7 linked regions of the Solanum lycopersicum genome follow. Each later gene encodes a partner of the first gene's protein in a complex. Links are inferred from orthologs where the notes say so. Each region holds a gene or a part of one and is shown in the gene's direction. Other genes may lie near its edges.

Evidence for each region.
Region 2: large ribosomal subunit protein bL31c (region 1) and large ribosomal subunit protein bL9c share a complex: the UniProt entries of both Arabidopsis thaliana proteins name them as parts of the 50S ribosomal subunit. The link is inferred for Solanum lycopersicum from reciprocal best matches to the Arabidopsis thaliana genes emb2184 and RPL9.
Region 3: large ribosomal subunit protein bL31c (region 1) and large ribosomal subunit protein uL24c share a complex: the UniProt entries of both Arabidopsis thaliana proteins name them as parts of the 50S ribosomal subunit. The link is inferred for Solanum lycopersicum from reciprocal best matches to the Arabidopsis thaliana genes emb2184 and RPL24.
Region 4: large ribosomal subunit protein bL31c (region 1) and large ribosomal subunit protein bL21c share a complex: the UniProt entries of both Arabidopsis thaliana proteins name them as parts of the 50S ribosomal subunit. The link is inferred for Solanum lycopersicum from reciprocal best matches to the Arabidopsis thaliana genes emb2184 and RPL21C.
Region 5: large ribosomal subunit protein bL31c (region 1) and 50S ribosomal protein L27 share a complex: the UniProt entries of both Arabidopsis thaliana proteins name them as parts of the 50S ribosomal subunit. The link is inferred for Solanum lycopersicum from reciprocal best matches to the Arabidopsis thaliana genes emb2184 and RPL27.
Region 6: large ribosomal subunit protein bL31c (region 1) and large ribosomal subunit protein cL38 share a complex: the UniProt entries of both Arabidopsis thaliana proteins name them as parts of the 50S ribosomal subunit. The link is inferred for Solanum lycopersicum from reciprocal best matches to the Arabidopsis thaliana genes emb2184 and PSRP6.
Region 7: large ribosomal subunit protein bL31c (region 1) and large ribosomal subunit protein bL28c share a complex: the UniProt entries of both Arabidopsis thaliana proteins name them as parts of the 50S ribosomal subunit. The link is inferred for Solanum lycopersicum from reciprocal best matches to the Arabidopsis thaliana genes emb2184 and PRPL28.

What each region holds. Positions count from the first base shown.
Region 1 is NC_090803.1:66,609,345-66,611,943, forward strand, and holds large ribosomal subunit protein bL31c, read left to right. Parts: upstream 1-1,309; 5' UTR 1,310-1,459; coding exon 1,460-1,528; intron 1,529-1,612; coding exon 1,613-1,933; 3' UTR 1,934-2,099; downstream 2,100-2,599. Other genes in the region: mannan endo-1,4-beta-mannosidase 7-like, read left to right, coding at 1-165. UniProt on the Arabidopsis thaliana protein: Binds the 23S rRNA.
Region 2 is NC_090810.1:57,591,530-57,595,706, reverse strand, and holds the start of large ribosomal subunit protein bL9c, read left to right. Parts: upstream 1-1,377; 5' UTR 1,378-1,522; coding exon 1,523-1,660; intron 1,661-1,775; coding exon 1,776-1,903; intron 1,904-3,446; coding exon 3,447-3,492; intron 3,493-3,628; coding exon 3,629-3,726; intron 3,727-3,801; coding exon 3,802-3,849; intron 3,850-4,177. UniProt on the Arabidopsis thaliana protein: Binds to the 23S rRNA.
Region 3 is NC_090806.1:68,736,326-68,740,514, forward strand, and holds large ribosomal subunit protein uL24c, read left to right. Parts: upstream 1-1,389; 5' UTR 1,390-1,519; coding exon 1,520-1,612; intron 1,613-3,020; coding exon 3,021-3,059; intron 3,060-3,369; coding exon 3,370-3,600; intron 3,601-3,783; coding exon 3,784-3,990; 3' UTR 3,991-4,131; downstream 4,132-4,189. Other genes in the region: calcium/calmodulin-regulated receptor-like kinase, read left to right, coding at 80-415. UniProt on the Arabidopsis thaliana protein: One of two assembly initiator proteins, it binds directly to the 5'-end of the 23S rRNA, where it nucleates assembly of the 50S subunit. Required for optimal plastid performance in terms of photosynthesis and growth.
Region 4 is NC_090805.1:43,261,584-43,265,690, forward strand, and holds the start of large ribosomal subunit protein bL21c, read left to right. Parts: upstream 1-1,307; 5' UTR 1,308-1,430; coding exon 1,431-1,724; intron 1,725-3,179; coding exon 3,180-3,260; intron 3,261-3,650; coding exon 3,651-3,752; intron 3,753-3,844; coding exon 3,845-3,919; intron 3,920-4,107. Other genes in the region: calcium-dependent protein kinase 11, read left to right, coding at 1-72. UniProt on the Arabidopsis thaliana protein: This protein binds to 23S ribosomal RNA in the presence of protein L20.
Region 5 is NC_090810.1:58,850,415-58,854,475, reverse strand, and holds the start of 50S ribosomal protein L27, read left to right. Parts: upstream 1-1,261; 5' UTR 1,262-1,308; intron 1,309-2,547; 5' UTR 2,548-2,554; coding exon 2,555-2,821; intron 2,822-3,501; coding exon 3,502-3,603; intron 3,604-3,674; coding exon 3,675-3,860; 3' UTR 3,861-4,061.
Region 6 is NC_090803.1:63,903,610-63,905,869, reverse strand, and holds large ribosomal subunit protein cL38, read left to right. Parts: upstream 1-1,424; coding exon 1,425-1,760; downstream 1,761-2,260.
Region 7 is NC_090808.1:67,409,465-67,413,710, reverse strand, and holds the start of large ribosomal subunit protein bL28c, read left to right. Parts: upstream 1-1,446; 5' UTR 1,447-1,595; coding exon 1,596-1,812; intron 1,813-4,237; coding exon 4,238-4,246. Other genes in the region: uncharacterized protein, read left to right, coding at 1-595.

The sequences.
Region 1 (2,599 bases):
GGAATGGATTCATTTAAAGATGGATATGAGATTATATTGAGTGAAAGTTCATCTGTTTCTGATATTATTATTCAGCAATCTAAAAGGCTTAATAAGATTAGAAAAATGTATGCAAGGTTGAAGAATATAGAGAAGTGGAAGAAAGCAAGGAAATTAAAGGATTAATCATGAGAATTAGAGAGATTTAATTTATGTTAGAGATGAATTAATTTAAGTTAGCAAGAAGTTAGATAATGTTTTTTTTTTTTTTTTTTTGGTAATGTACTGCTCGACATGTTGTATGTCAGAGGAAGTATTCTAGTAGTGATTTATTATGCCTTAAAAAAAACATCGATTGTATCGATGTATCTAGTGTAATTTCATATGATTTTATTTTATGAAATTGAAGAGTTTATTTTTGATAAATTAAGATATTTCAAAGCATATTAAAAAAGAAATATAATAGTAAAGAAATTATTTTTTTTTAAAAAAAAAGATTAATGAATCAATACAACGTGTGGGATAACAAAAATTGAAAGTAGGACAAGATAAATAACTTGGATTTGCTTATGGCGGTAAGCACAACATCACTTCTGTTTATTCAAACACTTTATTCTTATCAAAGATTATAATCGAACTAAGTTATTATCAATCATGCCTGGTTGAATTAATCTTTCAATAATATGTAAAAAAAAAAACAAAAAACTATTTGGTAAACTCTAGATACAAAGGAAAAAGGAGGATATTTGATTTATAAATTGGCCAATTTGTGTTACACGTCTCGGAGAGGAGAGACCGATAGTATTAAATTCAATGGTCAAGAAGTCGTAATTGACACTCTATACATGGTGGGTGATATGAGTATAAATATAAATAATCTACAGATAATATTTTATTAGCATTATTTCTCCAGATGGTTAAGACTTGGAACTTTTAAGTTAGAGGTCTTAAGTTCAAAATCACTTGCCAGCGAAAGTAAATTCTGGGTTGAGCTCATCGCACCGAATTTGCCTAATGCAGATTATTTCTCCTATGTGATTTGCGAACTAACGTATAGGAGCGGGAGTTTTACCATGTGCCCACCCAAAAACAGCGATTACTTAAAAATAAAATAATAAAAATACTTTTGAGATTAGTCAAACCTTTTTTCTACTAGGGTAAATGATATTTTTACAACAAACAAGTTTTTCTTAAAAAAATATGCAATACTTATGCAAGAAATCAAATTAGTAATAACGAATCAATAACTAATCCCAAACAACCCTAACGAGTTTAATCCATTTTTGAAAGAGTATTTACATAAATGGGCCTTACCTACTCCTTGGGCTTCAAGTAATAGCCCAAAAGTAACATCATACAAAACTAGCCCAAGTAGAGCCCAATCAAATATACAGCCCAATATCCTCAGATAAGCAATCTAATCTTCAACCCGTTCCTCTTTTTCTCCATCTCTCATTCTTCTTCTGCAAAAATACCAACAATGGCGCTCACTCTCTCCAACACTTTCCTTCAAAAAAATGTCGCTCCTCCTTCATTCTCCTCCAAGAAGGTAACTCCCCAAAATCTCCATACCCATAACTTTTTTTTTTTTTTTTTAAAAAGTATATGATTGTTGAAAAATTGAATTTTGCAGATGGGAATTGGGAGCAATCAAATGCGATGGAGCTGCAGGAAGAAGGATATACATCCGCAATTCTACGATGACGCTAAGGTATATTGTAATGGAGAGCATGTGATGACAACTGGGGGAACAAAGAATGAGTACACAGTTGATGTTTGGTCAGGTAATCATCCTTTTTATCAAGGTAGTCGTTCACAGCTACTTCTTGATGCTGACCAGGTAGAGAAATTCAGGAAGAAGTTTAGTGGGTTAACACAGATTATGCAAATTCCAACTCTCAAAGGAGAGATTGTGCTTCCTCCTAAGAAGAAGAAACCTACTAAGAAGAAGTAGACTTTATTGTGTGTTTGTAATTCCCTTAGTTCGTTTCGTAAATGGGGAAATTGTTGGAGAATTAGGGGTTTTGTGTATTTTGTGTTTGTATTTTGATGGTTTCAGTTGTGAACTCAGTCTATTATTTGAAAATGGAAGTATAAAAATTCAGTCTTTGTTCTTCAAATTTTTGGATTTGCTGTTGTTGTTATATGGTTCATCAATTAGTTGGGCTGGTAGAGCATTTAAGTTGAATCCAGTGAATTGTCTTGCTTTCGATTGCCATTATTGCTTCGACTATTGGAATGTAATGAGCCTAATAGAGCTGAATGGATACAAAAAAATTGTGTTAACTTAAAACAGTTTGGATCAGGTGTAGTTCATTGATCATAGTTTACGTTCAATAGTTTCAAATGAGTTGTCTTTCACCCCTTTACCTGATAAACTGAACGAAACTTGTCCGTTTTGCACTATCTTGGTGTAATGTTATACCTGTGATTGGAAAGGCTGATTGTTTCAGGGTTTCAGCCGTCCCTTGAATCCTTGACAAAGTAAAGATGAAATAAAGTCTGTTATAGATTTGGTGTCTTGTCTTTTGTATGGTTGCATTAGCCAAGCGTTCTAATGTTAGTTGTACTGGTGCTGTGGTGCACTTCCATTCTTGCAGTTTACTGTGTAAAATGCTTT
Region 2 (4,177 bases), on another chromosome or scaffold:
CTTTCTCTTTCTTGTTTTATACACTTCGTTTTATACAACTTGTTTCAACTGTATATGTATAGCGAATTATACAGTTTCTATGTTTGCTATAGGAAGCAAATATACAAAATTTGTTATAGCATATAAATATGAATTTTTTATTTGCCATATGTGAAAGTTGCCCTTATTTATATGTGTAAATACAAAACAATAATGTATGAGAGACAGAAAGAGTACGCTTTTACAAGTATGACTTTGATGAAAAAAATATGGCTAAGTGAATGTAAAATACTCTCCCTCCGGATTTAGATGACAAACTTTTTTTTAGTCAATTCTAAAAGAACGATACATTTCTTTATTTGATAAATAGTTAATGACACTGTCAATATTTTGTAGATGACTGGATCCCACTTATTCGACAAAACGTCTACAAAGTTGTGTTCTTTCTAAGGATAGTTTTGAGATATACAAAGTATTTTCATATTTTTTAAACTTCGTGTCCAATGTCCACTACTTAGTCAAGCAACACCACATGAATTGAGACGGATGGAGTATTATGTTGGGCTGTTTTTTTTGGATAAATTTTAGAAATCACATAATTTTAATATGAAATTATAATTCATCCCTCTTTAGTTTGTAATTTCATTAATCCCTTAAAAAGTAACACAAATCGGATACATTTATATGTAACTCGAATACATTAAAGAGTATCTTAGATGCATTATAGCATAAATCGGATGCATAATATGTAGTTCAGATACATTAAAAACTAGATCGGGTACATTATAAAATAAATCGCATACATAATATGTAACTCGGATACATTAAATACTAGCTCGGATACATTAATATGTAGCTCGGATACATTAAAGAAATAATGGATTTTAGAGGTCTTTAGAAATAAAAGGGGATATATGAAAATAAGGAAAATATAAGACGTGTATTTCAGTAAGGGTAAATGATAGAAATCTCACTTTTAAGTTCTCTTACTATTATTATCCCCTATTAGTTTTACAAATCTCCAAAATCCCTCATTTTCACACATCAAATTAACGTATCAGCACATCAAATTAATGTATCTCGCACATCAAATTAATATATATCACGCATCAGATTAATGTATATCGCGCATCAGATTAATGTATCTTGTATAAAGTGTACATCAGATTAGTGTATTATGTATAAATGTAATGTATCGTACTTAATGATTAATGTATCTCACACATCAGATTAATGTATCAAATGATACAATAATATATTATTGTATCATTTGAGAAATTTTTGTAATTATATACTTGTAAAAAACAAATGGTAATTTTGCCTTAAAAGTATGTGATTTCTGTCCTTCGCCCAAATAGCCTAAAATATTATAATTGGACTAAGAAATGGGCTTTACATGAATTGTCCCAATAAGTTTTGTTGGCCCATTAAGACATCCATTATCTTCTTCAGTTCGCCATTACAGATAAGATAACGCTATAAACTGTAAAAAATACAGAAAAACGGAGCAAAAAGTGAAGAAAAGAAGAAGGAAGACTTAGCTATGGCGTCATGGGGTTCATCTTCTTGTCTCCAAAATTACAGCTTAACCAAAAACCCATTTTCCGAAACAGTGAAATTTTCAGAAAGAACTTCAATTTTAACAATTGTTGCTCAGAAAAAAGCCAAGAAAGTTCGAAAGGTGAGCTAATTCTTGAAAATGTGATAATGGGTTGGATTTATAATTGTCAAAATCTCATTTTTTGTCCATTTATGGTTAATAGCTGAATTGGGTATTTTTTGTTTTGATGGAACAGATAATACTGAAAGAGGATATTTCACAGTTGGGTAAAAAGGGAGACCTTTTGGATGTTAAAGCTGGATTCTTTAGGAATTATTTGCTACCATTGGGCAAAGCTCAAATTGTGACAGCTGCACTTATCAAGTAACTCGTTTAACTCTACTTTGAACTAGATTTTTGCCATTTGATTTCATTGCCTTTTAGGTTCTTCTTTCATTAGCTGTACTTTTGTGGAGTTCGCGGTTGTTTGGTAGCTTGGTAGAGTTACGCAGGTATCAGTTATTTCGTCTTGTAACCTGCATAAGATAATACATTATATATTAGTTAGGTAGGTTTTTGAATTACAAATTAAACTTTGTGTTGATTTTATACATGAATAACTTATTCTCTAACTAACTGCCAAACATTGTATTACTTATACATTAAGTTAATATATGAGTAAGTTGCTTTTTTACTAGCTACAAAACACCCCCTTAATGTTTGTTAAAATTGGTTCTGCTTGTGTTGGATGGATTTTTAAGTATTCCTTTTGGAGACTGTTAGTTGATTTTAAGTGTTGAATATTCACATTTCCAATCACCCTGTATAGTTTAACGGCATAATCCACAGTGTGTCATGGACACCTGATGTTGATGTGGCAAATATATTTGGTTGGTGCCTAGATGATCATTTTGTAAGTTGGAGTGTTCAACTGACACAGTGGAGATGAGTTGAGGTGTAGATGTGCATACTCAAAGTTGGAGTGTTTTCTTGCTAGTTGATGCCGAGTTTGAGTGTTTTCTTGCTAGTTGATGCCGAGTTCAAGTGTCTGTTTCTGCATTATGACTAGTTAAATTATCGACTTAACCTTATTATTGAACTCAAGACTTTGGTTCTTCTGTTCGTTATCTTATTTTCATGCCTCATAATTAATGTCAGGATTCTTTGGTTCAACTATTTAAAATGCCACACACAATACTTTGCTTGGCTGTTGATGAGTGGAAGTATGTTATTACTATTGCTTGTTTTGTTTTATCTTTTATCTAAACCAATGGACCTATGTCGAATGGAGATAAAATAGGTATACTTAGTCTATGGGATCCTTTAAACTAATTGTAACTAGCTGAAAAGTGGACGGACCCATGGATTATACATATCTTCGTGCAAAGGTCGTACCAGAATAATCATTTTCGATACTCCTTGAGCAGAAACTCTGTATGGCTTTGGTGTTATAACTCTTGGTCAGTACACAAACTCTGTATGGCTTTTGTTCCCTGAAATAGTGCTTCGTATGATTAATGATTATAGGTTTAAGTAAATTCGCTTCTTTTAACCAAATATAATTTATTGATAACGGATTCGTCTTCAATACAATGTCCCACAATGCATAAGATGGATAATGGTTGGATATAAAACTTTAGATTTCCTACTACTTAGTGACTTTGTCTTTAGCTTTTGGGTGAGCAATAGGCCTAACCAGCTGTTAACATTAATGGTGTGATAGTCCTGTAAAAGTCTTATATATAAGGGATTTGCTATTTCATACTAAAGAACAAAACAAATAGGTGAAGGCTTCGTTAGAGATGGTTGTTAGAAGCAATTTTGGTTTGATATTTTTGATAGCTATTAGCGTGCTTCGCCATCAGTGAGAATTAACTAACTTCATGGATGCATTTTTATTTTATAACATTATGTACTTTTTACTCAGGGAAATGAAGATGGAAGACGAGAAAATTGAGGCTGAAAAACAACGGGTAATTAGATTATTCTGATTAATCTAATCTATTGAAAGTTGAAAAATATATACATTTTTTTTTTATTTTCAAGTCACTAAAAGTCTAAAAGAGTTTCATAATGAATGTGGTTTTAGTTAAACGTTTTTGATTTCAGGTGAAAGATGAGGCACAACAGCTTGCTCGAATTTTTGAAACTATTGGAGCCTTCAAGGTGAAGCGTAAGGGTGGGAAAGGAAAGCAAATATTTGGAAGGTCAGTGAAATACTAAATTGTGATGAGCAACTTGGTGAATATTTGATCTACCTTTTGACGTCATCTCTCTTGCAGTGTCACTGCTCAGGATCTCGTTGATATTATAAAAGCACAGATACAGAGGTACCATTTTCCAATCTTTCTGCCATAGCATGTAAATAGTAGTATGCGAACTAATTACTACTATATGTTCATTGAAGACTGTTAAAGTATATTGTCCTTCATAAGGTTGATCCTGTAATATGAATTTGCATGAACTTGAAAACTGATGTTCTCTGATTCATCTGGTTTATTAAGTAATTCAAATATTTTTCATGCAGTGCTTATTTTCTTGTGTGATTCCTTCTGTGCGATGTTACTTACTCGTTAACATCAGTCATCGAGAACAGTGGAGTATACTGATTCCATTTTCCGTCTATTGCTAGAGCAAAAACTGTTTTTTTGAAGCAAT
Region 3 (4,189 bases), on another chromosome or scaffold:
AACCTCTTTTATTGTGCATATGTTTCTGAAGCCTATTCAGTCATATAGAAACTAAGCTCCATAGGATTGATGATTGTAGGCAGCCATGACTACAGATGGAAAAGGCGGATGGGAGGAAATCGCAGATTCCCGTCTTGATGGGAAGTATGATCTGCAAGAACTTAATGATGTAGCAGCACTTGCATACAAATGTGTGAATCGTGCTGCCAAGAAACGGCCTTCCATGAGGGACACTGTGCAGGTTCTGTCAAGGATACTCAAGTCTAGACACGAAAGAAAACGCCAGAAGCGATCTTTATCTGCAACAGCAGAGGAGATTACCATCAATGTTGAACAAGTAGATCATCGGAATCCAATCTCTGGACATCGACGTGTTGAATCTATAGATAGCACAGCTGACTCGTATGAAGTTTAACTCAGTTCTTCCATTTGTTTATTTTTTTGTTTCATCTTGTAAAATTGGTCAGGTTGTTAGGTTTCTTATTTACAAAAACACACTTTTGTCTTGGTGAGTTCGTTTGGGATACTTAGGGGTATGTTATAGTCTGAGTGTATGATAGCCTTTGTTCCCAATTTTGTTCTAAGTTTTTGTAAATTTGCGTGGAAGGTTAATGAATGGTAGAAAACGGGGAAAATCCCAGATCAGGCTTTTCCACTTCTTCTACATTAGTATCCTATTCAATCTAATTTTATTAAAAAAGAACCAAGCTTTTTTTATTTTTTAATCCCCCGATACTTTTTTTCAATATATTTATTTGTTCAATTCGTCTTTTATATGTTTTGTCAACCTATAAAACATTAAAACTTGATCATTTTTCCCTTCTTAAATTAGGGCAAATTGATACTTTACAAATTTATAATTACAAAAAATCTTCAAAACGGATACAATAATACAAGCGTTGATACATTAATCTAATGCGCGAGATGCAATAATTTAATGTATGAGATACACTAATCTGATGCGTGAGGTACATTTTATATATGATACACTAATCTGATGCGCGAGGTACATTTTATACATGATACACTAATCTGATGCGCGAGGTACATGATACACTAATCTGATGCGCGAGATATACTAATCTGGTGCGCGAGGTACATTTTATACATGATACACTATATGATGCTCGAGATACATTAATCTAATGTGCGAGATACATTTTTATACATGATACACTAATCTGATGCGCGGGATACAATAATATGATTCGCGATAGAAATTGATGTGATGCATGAAAATTGTGAAATTTTAGAAATTTGTAAAACTTATAAGGGATAATGATAATAATTAAACTAAAAGGTGAGATTTTCGTAATTAATCCACAATCCCGAAATAGCTGAAAAGGGACTTTATAATTGGGCCGTACTCGACCCGTTGAAGGTCCAATTAAGTTGGATCGGGTGTCCAGGGATAGAGAGAGAAGAAGACGAAGGTTCTGGTTTTTATTATCCTATCCAAATACTCAGCTCAGTGTTGTTTCTTCCTTCAACAAAAGGATTTTGCAGAAGGTTTTGAACAATGGCGGCTCTGCAGAGCTCCTTTACTGGTCTCTCCATCTCCTCCACCTCCTTCTTCGGCCAACGCTTCTCTCCTCCTCTCTCCCTTCCTCTGGTATGCTTTCTCATAACTTCAACTATCTGGTTTTCAAACTGAACTATCTCAAATGTTAATTGTTTTGTTTCTACAACTGTATCATTCGGTCCAGCTTGCTCACAACTCGACTAATTACGTAGAATACCTGCTACCTCTAGCCAGAATTGAATTGTGTTGCAAGTAACTTTCTCCATCCAGTCTTACATAAATGCGAAGAAATAAACTAGTGTATTGTGATTTGAACCAATAAATCGTAGTTGTTCACCACTGCATTGACCACTAGGCTATATCCTATCTGTTTATCTCAATTTCAATTGTCTTTGTGAAAGGTCTTTGTTTGAATAATTTGATTTCTATGTATTAGGGATCATAGGAACAAAGGTATCCATTTCCATTGTACTATTGATTATAAATTAATTTTATATTATTTGATTACAATATATTGTGAACTTTTTCTCTGCTTGGTCACCATTGCTACCTGAGTCCTTTCTCATATCATATGTTTTTTCGCTATTATAAGTTTTGACTGCGTGTTTGGTACGAAGGAAAATGTTTACCTAGAAAACAAATGTGGAACTTACTAATTTTCTAGTGTTTATATGGTAACTAAGCTAGATAATATTATTCCAAGAGCATTTATATGTTATATATCCAACAAAATACTATGGAGGCGAGATGGGATGGGGAGTGGGGATTCGGGGATGGACGGACGTGATATGGTCAAGAAGTGGGAGTTGGAGGGATTGGGTGATGATAACTTGAAATGCTACTTATCCATCTTGTTTTTCTTACTTCCACTACGGAAGTCATTTTCTTTATTTTGAACTTGAACTTGTTTTCCTAAAGAAAATATTTTCGTAACACAGGAAAGTTGGAACTACATACCAAACACAGTGTATTTCTAGCTGCAAGAGAATAATTTTATATATAAAGACATCTACAATTTGATACAGTAGTTCCTCAAAAGTTCTTCAAAAAGTCAAGTATATTAAGAATATGCTAATTGGTTAACTTAAACTTACCCCCTCTGTTGTGATTGATGTCTTCCAAGTTCTAACATAGGATGAACCCTGTATTTGACTTAAGGTTCGAAATTTTAATATTTGGACATATTTATCAATTTTTTAATACATATATAGGGTCTGAGTTAAAGCTACTGGGTGCTGCTGAACCCATATTATACATATGCCTCTGTGTTCCTCGATAATAAATCGTTCTCATATTATAGTTACCTGTATAATCAGAAGTTATTGGAAGCAAATATGGAATAAGATCTGTCTCCAGAAAATGCACTTGCTTGTTATTCGGTTAACACTTTTTGGATGTATATCACGCCTTACGCAGTTTGTCACTTTTTATTGTGTCAACTGTAAAACTGGATAATCTTTTGCCACTTTAATGACAATCTCCATATAATGCCGTGCAGGTTAAATCAGCAGAAGGTCCATGTTTGATTACAGCAAAGGTTGGTATCTTGATCCATTTTGGTCCTTTAGTATATTGTCCGAGATAGACATTTCCGGCAACTACTTTTATAGGGTTGCTGTTAATGTGGTCATGCATTTCTTTTATAACTTATGATGTAATGAAGGAAGTGCTCGAACTAACTTGTCAACAGCTTTTAAAAATGGCCACCAAATGTTTGTATTGCTAAACCTTTGGTACTAATTTTTATGGGTATGATATTCTTTTAGCTGAAACAACAGTTAATGAGAATTGTGATTAGAATTAGCTTTATCATTGAATAAGAGCTTCTTTTTATGTCTATTTTGCAGCTTAAGCGATGGGAGCGTAAAGAATGTAAGCCAAACAGCCTTCCAGTACTACACAAAATGCATGTAAGGCTGGGTGATACTGTAAAGGTAATCTCCGGCCATGACAAAGGTAAAATTGGAGAGATTACCGAGATCATCAAGCACAACAGCAAAATAGTAGTAAAAGAGGTGAACTTGAAAACCAAGCATGTGAAGAGTCGGAGTGAGGAGGAACCAGGCCAGATAGTCAAGGTTTTATCTCGATTTCTTTCTTCTCTATCTTGCCTAAAAATTGTTATCTTGAGATTTCATTTCGTCGTGGCTAGCATCGAATTCATCTTTGCCCTAACAAGAAAGTAAAACTTTGTGTTAAGATTTTAGATTGAACTTCCCCAAGTTGTTTGGATTGAGACGTAGTTGTTGTTATTGTTTCAGATTGAAGCTCCTATTCACAGCTCAAACGTGATGCTTTATTCAAAAGAGCAGAAGGTAGCCAGTCGGGTTGGTCACAAAACTTTAGACAATGGAAAAAGAGTCCGGTACCTCATTAAAACTGGGGAAATCATCGATAGTGCAGAGAACTGGAAGAAAGCAGTCAAAGAGAAGGGGAAAACAACAGAAGCAGTAGCTGCTGCTTCCTAGGAGATCCACTGGTCTGTAAATTCTAGTTCGATTTTGCTAATTTTGAATCTTCTCTCATTGATATATTATGATTCTGTTGTCACCTTCACCTTTTTAACTCAGTAACATAAGATTTTATATTAAAGTACATTTACTCAAAAATTCTGTTTGCCAGTACTATTACGTACTAGAGTTTGATGGTTAATGGGTCGAATACAAT
Region 4 (4,107 bases), on another chromosome or scaffold:
ACAATGAGAGGCAATTTGAATTTTAACTTGGCTGATGCACTTGGAGCAAGTGACAGTGAGAAAAAAGAATAGAAGGTTTCTACTTCTATAATATATCAAAAAATGCATATTATTAGGAAATGTATTATACCAACATTATATTTAGATTGTTTGGTATCTAACTCTCTAATTCTAGCATGATTGTTTACCAGACCAAGCTGATAGAATACGTTGGACCAACCAATAACCAGAGGAGTTCAAGGAGGCTTTCAACCGGACGAGAGGGGTCAAGTAGAGCTGTGTTTGCCAAGACAATGTTGGGCTATTACCAGCATATATTGGTGCTCTATTATTTTGTGATGGTAGATAGATTTAGTGCTATAGTAGCAAAATTTCAGTTGTTGCTACTCTCAGCAACAGCATGCCCAGTATCTTTCCACGAGCGAGATCTGGAGAGGGTGGGATGTAAACAAACGTTACTCCTACTTTTGCTACTTTATCTTATATAATTTGAGGGTTTTTCCTCTAGTTCATAAATTCTAAAATATTACAGTTGTTTGTACCTGAGAAGTGTTGTAAAAACCTTCTTTATGTCTATATTAATTTGATGTTACTGGAAATTGAGTACCTTTTAAGATCATTTTGTCATATATTAAACACTAAAATAAATTTCAGTCTTCTTTTATTTGTGTAATTTTTTTGATTTATTTTTTTTTCCTTCCAATTTTGCGGGCTTGATTTTTAACATAACAAATGGCATTACTTTTGTTCTTATTTTACTCTTCTTACCACGTATTTGTAATCTTACTTCTACGTTTTAAAGATAGAATAATTATTTTTTAAGAGCCTCAAATTAAATAAAACATATCAAAAATAGTACTAGCACTATGAAAATTAAATATAATGTATATGTAATTGCAAAAAGTAGATGGGAGGCTTTACATAACTAACCTCGAGTCAAAATTAAACAATGATGGCTTCAAGAGTAAATGACCTATTATATAATTTAGAATATTTGTTAATCTCTCCATTTCAAAAAGGATGGTCTAGCTTGCCTTGAAACAGAATTTAAGAAGAAAAAAAAATTTTTTAATCTTGTGATTCTAAATTAAAGTTATGTCAAATGTACCAAAATATCCTTTAATCTTGTGGTCTTAAACATGTCACGTGGAAAGTTCAAGTTAAAATATTATGAAAAAAGGAAATGAGTTTTTTGTTTTGAAACAGACTAAAAAAGGAAATAGAGACGTTCTTTTTGAAACGAAGGGAGTATTATGTTACGAGAATATGTAAATTTATACTATTTCTAATACAATTATTTTTAAAAAAATAAATAAAGGATTTCGGGGTAAAATAGTCATTTGGCTACCACTGCAGATAGGATAGGCTTCAACAGATAAAATTGAGAGAGAGACAGAGAATACCCAAAAAAAACCTCTCACTCTCTAACAATGGCAACCCTTTCCCTGTGTTCTACATCTTCCCCCTCAACAGCACTTTCCAAGAACCAAACTTTTCTTAACACCCTTTCTGTTCCCAAAGCAAATTCCAATGTTACTTTTCTATCTCACTCATTTTCCTCTCTCAATCTCCGTTTCTCCAAGCCCAATTCTTTATCCTCTTTTGTACCCAAATACTCAGAATCTGAAGCTCCAGTAGCTGAAGTTGAAGCTGACCAAGAAGAGCCTGTTGTGGAAGCCACTAGCTTGGAACCAAAACGGGAAGAAATCTTTGCTGTTGTTATGGTGACGACTCACTTCCATTCATGTTTAAATTTGTGTAGACATATCTGTTTGTTTTCAATTTCGAAATCAATGTGAGGGTACAATTTAGATTTTTATTGAAAAAATTATGAGGTCCCAAATGAAAATTTGAAAATTCAGCGGAAAATGTTTCAGTTGTCTGTTACCTTGAATTTTTTTCTCGAAGGAAATAGGAAATTGATCTATTCCCTCTAAGGGAATGTTACTTTGTTGTATAGAGATCACAACTTTGGTTCAAGATTGTCATGTGCTCAACCTTTGATATCACAAAAGCAGTCGGAATTTTAATAAGGGGAATTCAAAATTACTCAGACCTATTATTGAAGCAATTTCTCGAATTAACCTTTGCCACTAGAACGAAAACTTCCTTTATGTCAAACGGATTAGAAGTTCCAAAAATTTGTTTTCATGAAGAATGTTCCACCACACCTCACTCACTTAGTTCATATTTCGTGTTTGCTAGTACTGTTGATACATTACTGCTTCCTATGGTGTATGTGGTGAAAATAGGGAGTGTTACAATGAAATTCTTTCGTTCTGTTATTTATACGTCAATGCCATTCTGTGATGCTTAGGTTTAGCATTCTGTTTTAGGGTGTCTTAAAGGAACAATACACATGTCTATATGTTTGTGTCATATTGACTTGGCAGTGGTGGTGGCTATTGGAAATGTTAAAATAGTCCGTGCTAAATAAGCTGAACTGAACTTTTTATATGCTTAGTATTCTCCAGTAGAGTTGGCTGATGTTAACAGAAAACTATAATTATTATGAAGACATGACGAAGATTTAGTACTTGGTATATCCTTACCTGTGTTCTGGACACCATCCAATTTCAAAAATCTCAGTCTATGTTCTCTTTGGTTTTAGTTTAATTTCGTTTTACAAGTGGGCCATCTATTTTCGGTAGGCGTTTCCTCTAGTTAAGTTGCAAAGGGGTTCATATGGCAGATTAGAAGTAATATAACTAATAAATAACTGATAACTATCATTTAGTTCTAACTTTAGGTGTTATACAGTTGTCAGAGGGAATACATATCTACAAGTCCATGCAAACATTTAAGCAAAAGTCTAGTAATTGTTGAAATTTGATTTTGAGGTTGCCATATTCTACACTTTCATCTTTTATTTAATGTGAATTGTGAACTATTGTATTTAACCGGAGAAAACATTCATGTTTACTACTTATTTGATGAATATTTTTTCTTTTCCATGTGGAAAATACTCACTCTTGCGAGGAGATTATAGCTGCTATTTCAATCTGATCATTATTCCTGCTGCTAACAATTTTCAAGTCCTCTAGGTGTCAAATTTTGTGCTTTATTTTGTTCTTTTTTCTTTTTTTCAGATGAATGTGACACTACCCTAATATAACTCTATGGGGCTTGTCTTTAATACGTTAAGCTGTTTGTTCATTTTTGCTCTTTCGCTTTCATAGGTTGGATCTCGGCAATATATTGTTTTTCCTGGGCGGTATATCTACACCCAGAGGCTTAAAGGTGCAAATGTCAATGACAAAGTGAGCATTTTTGGTCTTAATTTACAATTGATTTCCCAAAATCTGGTTACCTCTCTGTGGCTTTGGCTTTAGTTACGTGAGTTGTTTTTCTTTTTCCTTGTCTCGCTATCTCATATCAACATTGTGGTGTCCAATCAAAAAGAACTTGCTTGCAGCAATTTCTCAATTATGTCAAAAGGCATCAATTTCAACCAATAGTGACATTTGCTTGTCCTATTTCTATTATCTTTAATACATTGTCTTCACCAGTTATTTTCCACGGAAGCTAACACTTGATATAAGGGTTATATGTGTATGTCAAGGTTTTCTTGCCATATTGGCAATACTCTTATTTCAAAATTTCCACAATGAGGATCATTGTTGAAGCATCTATACTTGTTGCTTCTGCAGATTATCCTAAACAAGGTGTTACTTGTGGGAACAAAAACAAGTACTTGGGTTGGAAAACCAGTGGTGCCAAATGCAACAGTCCACGCTGTTGTTGAAGAGCAGGTCAGACATCATTCTTCCTCTGCTGTAGTTTCCACTGAGTATATCTTGTTTACTTGACATATCTGTTGGCTCATTATTACATTTCCATGCAGTTGAAAGATAAGAAGGTTATCGTCTTCAAGTATAAGAAGAAAAAGAACTACAGAAGGAATATTGGTCACAGACAGGTATCAAAGAACTGTTTTTAGTGATATCTGAATAACTATAAAGTAGTTTGAACTTTTTTAACCTATCTGTTTGCCCTTAAAGCAAGGCGCACCGTAGTCTATCATAGTTTTAACTATGTCTGCAAATAATTACCATGCAAACATGAAAACTGTCTAAATCAGTGAGCTTACAGCCATGTATGAGACAT
Region 5 (4,061 bases), on another chromosome or scaffold:
TATTTTATTGTATTAATTTTATATATTGAAATTTAGATATATTTAAAATGTTCACCTAATATTATTTTTTAACCAATAAATATATTTATTCTTTGAAAGAATTAGGTTCATGGCATTTATATTCTCCACTTGTTCTTGTCCTATAAAAGTAAATAAATTAAACAATCTATTTTACTTTAAATATTCTTCTTTTAAATCCTTTAATTTACCAACACAACTTTTGACTCGAGCAATCAATTCCACTAACTAGTTCAAGAAGCATAATATGAGCAATTTTCAAGAATAATGTGGCATTATTGTAGGTCGGCGTGTTAAATAATCGGGTTGAATTAAAATTTAAAATATTAAAATGAGTTCAAATAAAATTTAAGTCGAATCATAACCTCTTCAAATTATGTTAGGCTCAAATAGGATAAACATTGGATTGGATCATGACCTGTGCGATTTGACATGTTTAATCTCAATAATTTAAACATATTGTTATTTTCCTTTAATAACTATTATTTGAATTTTAATTCAATAAAAACAGTTATAAAATTGATATATAAATCATAAAAAATATAAAATAGATTCTAATTTATGCATTCAATATGAGAACATAAATTACACCAATACAAAAAATACTCTTAAAACATGTTGAAATTAGAGATTACATTGGACACAATTAAAAATTATTTTAAAATGGGCTAAAACGTAAATAAGTTGAGATTGATCCAATTCAAAATATCTAGAGCTCCCGCCTATAAAATTTTAAATGAGTTAGACGAGTTATATATATTTAGGCTCATTTTGACATTCTTAACCGTACTTGTATGGAGGTATGCAAAAAAAAATTATTCTTATACTTTTTATCGAAAAATCATATTATATATGCCCGTAAGTAGGAGTATGAAATTTTCTCGATAAAAATTAAATTAAAAATTTTTAAATATGATTTCATTTTTTGAAAATACTTTTCGCAGAATATCAATTTGAGATTAAAAAACGTTTTCAAAAATATAAAAACAATCACTTGGATTTTAGTTTCGAAGAAAAGATATCTGAAAAAACATTTTATTTTACTAATTAAAATCATATTATTCCCCTTTACAAGTTCGATAAAAATATTTACAACTTCAATATTTATAAGCAAAATTAATTTATGTCCATAACTTATGTTCGATAAACGAAACCATTAAACTTAACCCGAAAACAAGCTAAAAAAAGCCCAATTCAAAACGGGTCAAGTATATTATAAAAAGGATGGCTGACATTTCTCTTATCTTTTTATCTCGAAGATTTTGCCATTGTGGCTCCATAATCCCCTCGGTGAGTTCATCTCTTTTCCCCTCTTCTGTAAATTCAATGTTTTTTTCTTGTACTATGTTTAATTGGGTGTTCGAAAATGTATTTAATTTTAGCTGACTCGCAAATCTTGGTTTACTATTCTCTCCATTTCAATTTGTTTGTGTGGTTCGACTTTGGCAAATAATATAAGAAAGTAAAGATTTTTTTTTAATCAAGTGGGGTTGAAGTAAAACTAATGTTATGTCGAATGTATCAAAATGTTGTTTAATGTGAAAAGTTAGAATTGAAGAGTTGCTATTGGAAATTGAAATGGAGGGGGTTAGTATTTATGCTTCACTAGGATTTGAACTTGAGACGTTATGGTTATCAATCTACTTTATTGACCGCTACTAATATTTTAGGTGGACTGCAATCTTGATGAACATACTAGTGTTTATTTTGTTGTTGATACTGGTTTCCTTTGATTCCTCTTTGTTTTGTGGTTTAAAGACTTGTCCTTTATGATTAAATATGGTTCTTTTATGACCAATTGCTTGCGTAAGGACTTATTTGCGGAATATTTTGTGGTGTAGAGTTTGCGAAATGCGTTTGTGGTGGAGGGGGGTTGATGTTTGGTGTAATTTTGAAAAGAAAAACAATGAGTGGAAGTAATGTGTATTGAAATGCAAGAGATATATAATGGAGTAAAGATAGTTGTAATGAGGACTTAAGGTACTTCTATTGTTAGGAGTGTGTGTTTTGTATTTTTTTTGAAGATTGATAATAAGCTCAGCAAATTGGTTTTATATTTTGATAAAGCTGAGTATTAAGAAATGACAATATTATCTAAACAGTGGTTGGAGCGAGCGATAAGGAGAAAGAGCTGAAATCGTAGTAAAAGGAAATGACTTATCTCATAAGTGAGAGTAGTTATTTCCCCCTTTTGATGGAAAACTTTTTTTCTTAGGAAATATGTTTAGGACCATTTTTATCACTCTTCTACTGTTTTAGTCATACCGAGCAGTGTTAAAGTCAGAGTCAAACCTTCTGTAGACTTACTATCAAAAATATATTTCTCCAATTTGTGTTCGCGATGATCCGGGGAAATTTTAGATTGGCGATTAAGATCCTTGGTAGTTGTTATGGTAATAGTTTTGTCCTCTTAGTAGTTCTATGCTCATATTTTTCCCATTGTTAAATATCACTTCCTTTCCTTTAGGCCTCTCATCTCTGATAGTAAGTACCACGAGAGGCTACTGAATTTCTTTGTTTTCTTTGCAGCGTATAAATGGCAGTGAGTTTGAGTCTTGTTTCCTCATTCAAAGGACTCTCCTTATCTTCCAATTCTCTCCTTGGGGTTTCTCTTCCCATTGCCCCTAAGTTCTCCGTTTCCTTCCCGTTGAAATCTCCATTGACAATTGAGTCTGCACACAAGAAAGGAGCTGGTAGCACTAAGAATGGTCGAGATTCTCCTGGACAGAGGCTTGGTGTCAAGATTTATGGTGACCAAGTCGCCAAGCCCGGTTCTATAATCGTTCGCCAGCGCGGTACAAAGGTTTCAATTTTACTTCTTCTGGATCTCCTCTCTCTTTTTTATTTTTGCCTAAAACTCGTATTTGCTGTGGAAGTTCTGATAGTTCTTTTGATTAATTAATAGTGCTTGAAATGAATTCGGATGAACCCACCCAAGTAGAGTGTAATTCCAGTTTTTTTGCTCAATACCTCACAAACATACTAGGTCCTGGCATCTTGTCAATAACTCTGCTCCATTCGTCTGGCTTTCTTCGTTTGGTTTGTATATTATTTGTTAGAAATATGTGGATTGTCTAGAGGGCGTTAGATTGAGTACAAAACAAGGTACTAGAGGGATACATATCTTGTCATTTGAAGTAACAGATTGCTATAAGGTTTAAGGTTTTGAGCTCGTGTCGTGAAGACATAGTTGGAAGTTCTCTTTAAGAAATGCACATTTGTTATAATCCGACTTGAGTTTTTTTTCTTTGCCGAAAGTGTCAGTTTCTGACAGTATGATGCTATGAGTAGATGTCGTCTTCTATCAGTTAGATAGTAAAAGGGTTTATGCCAGAGGTTGGTATTAGTTTTACTTTTTTTCGGCTCTGATATGATCCTGTTATCGTCTGTTTGTTTGCTCTAAGAGTAGTTCAAAAGTTGCATTCTCCGTTTAGCATTGCCATATATTCTGTTCCCTAATCGTTCTCGTGGTGATATTTCCAGTTCCACCCAGGAAAGAATGTTGGACTTGGCAAAGATCACACAATATTTTCTTTGATTGATGGACTAGTCAAATTTGAAAAGTTTGGACCTGACAGGAAAAAGGTTGAGTTCTTTAGCTTACTGCTTGTAGATATGTGGTACACGAGTGTTATTAACGTATACTGACTGTGCAGATAAGTGTTTATCCACGCGAGGTGCAACCTGAAAACCCCAACAGCTATAGAAACCGAAAGAGAGAGTCCTTCAGATTACAACGTGAACGTAGAAAGGCACGAAGAGAAGGTGTCATCCCTGAGCCTCAGTTGATAGTTGCTTCTGCTGCTGAATCCTCTGAAGATAATCCCATCACCACTTGCTGATAATGGTCTTTCGATTTTTCAAACATTCTGTTGTCGTTTTGGTTATTGCTAGTAGCTACTTGGGAACACATTTGCAGGCACATTTTCTAAACTGTGTTTCTGCCATTGTTGTCTTTTTTTGTTTGTAAATTGTGTTACTGAAAGCATGAGTCTTTGTCACAGTTTGTATGAGTACAGAATGAAATGTATGATTCAGAAGAT
Region 6 (2,260 bases), about 2.7 Mb from region 1:
ATTTTCTTTCATCTTTGACTATCAGGGTACATGATACTGGATCGGACACCAGAGTTATAAAAATATGCAATTTAACTCTTTTTCCAATAAAACAAAGCACTAATTGCCAAAATGCTAGAGGTAACCAACTCATTTTTACTCGGCTATAGGATGTTTTGGGCTGATTAGTGCAGATGAAGTTGGTCAATCCATTAATCTTGATGATTCATATAAGTGGGGGAACAATAAAGGTCACGGACTACAAATGGGATAGACTGGCCTATAATATTACTCACAAGGCTAACAGTAGATGCAAAGAGACGTATATGTTTGTTCTTTTATGTGTAAGAATCATACTCAGGTGTATTTTGTATGACCTACTTATTTTCAAGTATCTTTTTCACGGTGTTTGATTGTCATGTAATAATTGATTGAGTCGCCTTCAACATCAAGTGATTGAGTTCACGTTTGATGGATAAAAAACACTATTAATCCTTCTGGAGTGGGGTGATTTTACACATATATATTATAGCAAGGAAAGAGTAATAGGTACACGTGAACTCAAGTTGTGCCTAAATAAGCAACTAATAACAAAAAAGTGTTATTATGGTAATGAAAAAATAAAAGTATCCATTCAAGTGAAGTTTACTTCAATATCATCGAAAAAGGAAGGAAAATGAAACGATTTGACACCAATTGAAGGAACAATTTAACCTTTTAGAAGTAAAGTCATTTCCTCTAAACATGTAACCTACTAATAGTCAACATTCACTTCTCATAGTTATGTCCAAAATACAACTACTATGCTCCATATATTATACAATAACTTTTATATTAAATCATATAATATCAGAGAAAGATTAAAATAATTATGACTAGTTGAAAACATTACCAAACATACAGACACAAGTTGAGGAATTGTGTCCCATGATCTTATAAGATTATTACTCATTTGAACTCAATTAGGCCGTGTACTTTTGACTCTAAATTATATTCACTTATGTACTAAAATTTCATAAACTATTCTTTAATCACAATGACCTTTGGGTCTCTAACTAAGAATTTCTCCGTCTCTGCCCTTTATACACACCGTCCATCGCTCCTATCGATTGTGAAGTTACGTTTAGTTTTCAGACTTAATATATGAACATAAATGGTAAGTTATTATTATACAAAAATATAAACTATACATAAATTAAAGACCAACACTAAATAGAAGCAAAAGTGTAAATGATCCCACAGATTTATTTGGGCCAGACCAATTGTTGTTCTACTACATCCAACACTCAAATAACCCAAAAGGGCTTTAAGGCCCAAATGCCAAACGGTGTCGTAACCTTAGCAGAAACTGAAGTCACCAGAAGATAACGAAGGCAATCCACTTCAAAGGTTCCATTAAACACAGCCAGAAGAAGGAAAAACCTTTGAAGAGAAGAAAAAAGAAAATGTCAGCCTCCGCCATATTCGGGTTGCAGATGGCGGTGTTGCCGCGTTCCTCAACTGTTTCAGCGACCGGATTCACCGGCGGAGCCACCAGGTTGGCGTCGGCACCCACAAGTATCGGGGGATTGGTAATTGAGTGCTCATCTAGGCCACAGAAGAAGGCTACAGCTCACCATAAGAAGACACGTCCACGGAAGACTCAAGCTTGGGATATTCGACGTGGACCAGCTGTTTATGCTCCGTTACCTCCCTTACCATCGGAGTGGTCCTTTGCCAGTGATGAATCGGGTCAACCCGCTGCCGCCGGAGCTTCAGAGTCCGACGCCAAATCTGAGTAATTTTTCTGTAACTTATCATTTCGGCTTTTGTATAATGGTGTTTTCCGTCTGATACTTTGGGGAAATTTGCAACTTGTTCAATTGCAGTTTTGGCGCAATAAGTGATTTGAAATGAATGTTTTACGCTTTACTTTTTAATCTATTCAATGCCACTGGATAATGCCGTAGCTTGTGAGATAATAAACAATATCCTTCGAATATCGGTTCCGTATAATAAAATAGCAAAATTATATATTATGTAAAGCAAATATCAAATGTGATCGGGGAGAGGGGTCTCGTACTAAAAACAATGAATGAGAAAACAGTAGCTATGTTTGTATTTGCATTAAGGCAATATACTCGCTCATTCAACATCGGAATCCTTTGAACTATGTCGCAACAACCATTCCGATCAAAACCAAACTATCCAGTAGATTAGACGAGCCAACAATGTACATTTTATGTTCCTACTGTAAATGGCATATTTACAAAGTATGAAACCCAATTATTTGCCCTCCAGA
Region 7 (4,246 bases), on another chromosome or scaffold:
GGAAGCTGAAAGATGTGCTGATAGTAAAACACACATATCAGAATCTTCACAAGATGATTCTCAAAAGGCTGGGGATGACGATGCTTTGGCTGGTGGCAGTCATTCGGATGATAGACCTTCTGAGGAGCTAATAAAAGACGACAGCTCTGACCCTCTACCAGATGACAGTAGTGTCTCTGCTCAAGAGACAATCTTCCAAGAAAATCTCGAGGTTACCCGTACTGGTATGGTTTCAGAAAGGAAAGATGAAAATGCTAATCCCAGTCCACTGGAGCATCTTGAGATAAACAATGACTCACCAGTTAAGGAAGCAATTAAGTCAGAGGAAGACAATGGAAATGTAGACGATAGACCTTCTGAACCAGAATTCTCATCGAAAGAAGAGTTGGATGCTCCAGAGGAACTTGAGAAAAAGGAAGAAATCCCTATTACTGAAGTGTTTGATCCGGGCTGTGTACTTGTGGAGTTTAGAAGAGCAGAAGCTGCATGCACGGCTGCTCATTGTCTACATGGACGACTGTTTGACGACCGAATAGTGACTGTGGAGTATGTTCCCCTTGATCTCTATCAGACAAAGTTTGCTAAACAAAACTAATTTCTTTTGGCCCATTCAAAACCTTATGCAGATCTCCCCAAACTTGAACGACGTTAACATAGGATTTCACAATGCTTAACTGAATGTTTGTTTGCAATTTTTACCATTATTGAGATGCCTTGGTGTTAACCCTTTTGTTAGTGCGAGAGTCGTACCCGATTTGAAGCGGAATACATGTTTTCTCCCAGATGTAGAATGGGATGAAGGAATGAGCCATTGTATTATGTCATCTAAAAATTATGAACTTTGTTTTTAAGTTGCAACAGTTTACCTACTACTTACAATATACAGGAGCACAATCTTATGGCTTCTTGAAATCTTTTATTTACCTTCTTATTATTTTGCCTTAATGTCTTGTGCTTGTAGTTCTAAATGATGTTGGTCACTGACTCAGTTGGACAGTTGATGGGATAACAGATTTTAGGGGTTGTTTGGTTAGAGAGATAAGGACATTCATAACATAGTGTGATTGATTTGAAGATAGTAGAGACGTTCAATATTATAATGATTTGATTTTGGTCTATTTGTTTGGTTTATCATAAGTGGAACCTGAAGAGGGAGAAAACGCTTAATATTATAATGATTTGATTTTGGTATAGGCTTAATAATGATTTGATTTTGGTATAGGCTTAATACTCTCTTTGTTTGGTTTGTGATATTAGACTTCCACGTGAGTAAGTAATGGAAATAAGATTAAAGCATAAACTAAGATAACACAAGTAATGCAAATAAAATTAAAGCATAACTATGATAACATATTACTTCCAAATAAGTTAGATTTTGTTATTTATTTATTCTTTTATTTAAATCGTTTGATATTATTAGACTAAAGGAAAAAATAAGTTAAATATATAATAACAATAAAAAAAAATATGAAGGCCAACAAATAAAATCATTACCCACATCCATTTCGTTATCCACTCTTCACTTCCTTCTTCAAAAAAAAAAGCAACATTCTTGAGACAAAAAAGATTCTTGCTTTGAGGAATTGGTTGCAAAAATGGCGACAATCACAGCGGGTATAAGCCTCAGAGGACCAGTAGTGGGTGGTTACAGGACATTTGCAGTGACCAAAAGGGCTTTACCCAAGGTGAAATTCAGCTCAGAGTTGAGTTTTGTGACTTCTCAATTGAGTGGCATCAAGATTTCAAGCACCCATTTGAGCTCTCCTGCTTCACTTTCTGTTCCTTTCAAGACAGCCCTTCAACCTGTTGCTCGTAATTTCTCTACCCTTTTGTTGTGTTCTCTGTGTTTTTAGTTGTTGGGGTTGTTTCTTTTTTGGTCTAGTAATATGCACATGAACTGTTTGTTGTTTTGTTTGTTTCAGTGAATTGTTGGGTTTTAACAATATTGTGAATTGTGTGTAAGAAATTGTGCTTGTGGGGAGGCAGTAGGTAACCTTAGAATTAGTCGAGGTGTGCGCATACTGGCCATACACCACAATTGTCAAAAGGAAATTGTATCTGATAATTTGAAGTTTAGTTAAGTACTTGTTACTTAGGGTAATGGTTGTTGAAGTATGTGCAAACTGACCCCGACATTACCATTATTTAAAATAAAAAAAGAGTCTTGGTGCAATTGCAAGGTTGCTCCTTTGCTGACCTGAAGGTTACGAGTTCGAGGGGCGGAAATATTAACTTTGTAGACCTATTGATGGTAGAGGTGACATTTCAGCTTTCTGAATTTCAATTAATTGGATCACATGCAAAGGGATACTGTATGGTATACACCTTCGGTCCCTCTACCCATGAAGTAGGGATAGTAAGTTCTTCTTGAACATTGATGGGGAAAAAGGAAAGATGATAACTTTCAAATGTTAATACGATGAATCATCATTTTGGTGCAGGTAGCCTTTTTATTTGTGTGTGTGTGGAGTGGCCGTACTCAAAGGGTCACAGGACCGAAATCATCATGAGTGTTACTCAGATAATTGCTCATTCCATACCTGAGACCCCATTTAGTAGTCGGGTGTCTAGAATTCAGATATGTGCTTTGTGTTGATAGCACATTACGTTAGATTGTTTAGTACCAAGTGAAAGTTAGTATTGCTGATATGGGATGAAAATTATCCCTTACAATGTGGAGGATCTGAAGACATAGCCAAAGTTGGAAAAAGTTTGATTCAGTTGCAATTTGCAAACTAAATATATTGTTTTCTTGAAATCTGTGGTATGGTAAGCTGAGCACTTGACATTAATCACATATTATTAAGTTACATATGATAATCAATGATTAAAAACCATATTATAGTTTACTATCTAAACAACTTCTTATATAACTTCAAGAGGAGAGATTAAAGGGGTGTCATCATTCCAGGGGTTTAAAAGTCTGTCTACAGTCGCAAGAAATAGGGATAGGACAACCTCACCATGTGCAAAATTAACAAACTGGGAAGAGCTTGATGGACTACAGCATATTGATTAAAGGGAGCTGCCGCGTTAACTGCATTAATAACAACAAGATCAATAAAATACGGTATATAGTTTGGAAGTTTGTCCATAGTTGTCTTCATATACTGAATGATCCCTAATTTTTCCTCCTTGGCTCTTTGTTCTCTGACTTAAGGATTGCCGATATTTAAGGCATAACAGATTGTCCAAGTGAAGAATTATAAATTATTTCATGATAAATTTCTTATATAGATGGTATCAACAGTTTTTTGGTTAACAAAGTTTGCATTCCTTTGCTGCAATTCATAGACAAAGCTGCAAAAGAAATACTATATGCATGAGAAGATATTATAATTCTTGTCGAGGCCTTTTAGGTCTCATTAAAAACTGACTGCAGCCTAAAGGGAGCTTCATTTTCTTGCTTTCACCTCTCTTGATAATGAGCAGGATTTCCATCTGCCTATTCTTCTCTCCATGAAACTTGCAGCCTAATAGTGAAATAAAAGCTTTATGAGATTCAAAGCTTATGAAAGTAGATTTCTCGCTATCAAGAATATGTAAATCCATTTACCTCTCAAATTCACCTTCTGCATTTTTTAATATTTATTTACCCACCTGTGTCCTTATTACAAGTGACCAAACTAGTTAAAAAGAAGACGAAACCAATAATGAGAGGCTGAGAGAGTGTGTTAGCTGCAGATTTGGAAGGAAAAATCTACAGAACTTGAATCTTCGGTGTGTTCGCCCCTCTGGTGTACATTATATTTTGAATATGATGATAACAGCTTGGTTTAATTCGTTCTCATTGTATGACAACAAATTGTAAAGGGTTGACTTACCTTTTGTGAAATCCAGTAATGGCAGAGTATTTGGCTTTTAGATCACTGATGAAGCTTTAGTTTACTAATCAGAAAGCACATTATGAGAGTCATTAGGAGCACTATATCACTGACACTCTTGCTTGCTTTGACTCCCTTTCTAAGTTGCTGCATTTGTCAAACTGCATCCTGAATTCCTTTGTTTTTTTAGTCCAAAACTACTTAAAGCCTTTGAGCTAATAGGTAAAATAAAACAAATTAGGGACAAGAGTAATCAAATATTCCCAGTGAAGCATCCTTTGCCTTACATCATCATGATCTTTCCTTTCCCCCCCTGCTTTCCTGCATTTTTGTCGGTTGTGCTCGAATATCTTGGCGCCTCTTTATGATAAGTAGCGTATAGAATATTAAGAGAATACATTCTGTTTTTTCAGGTAGAGTAT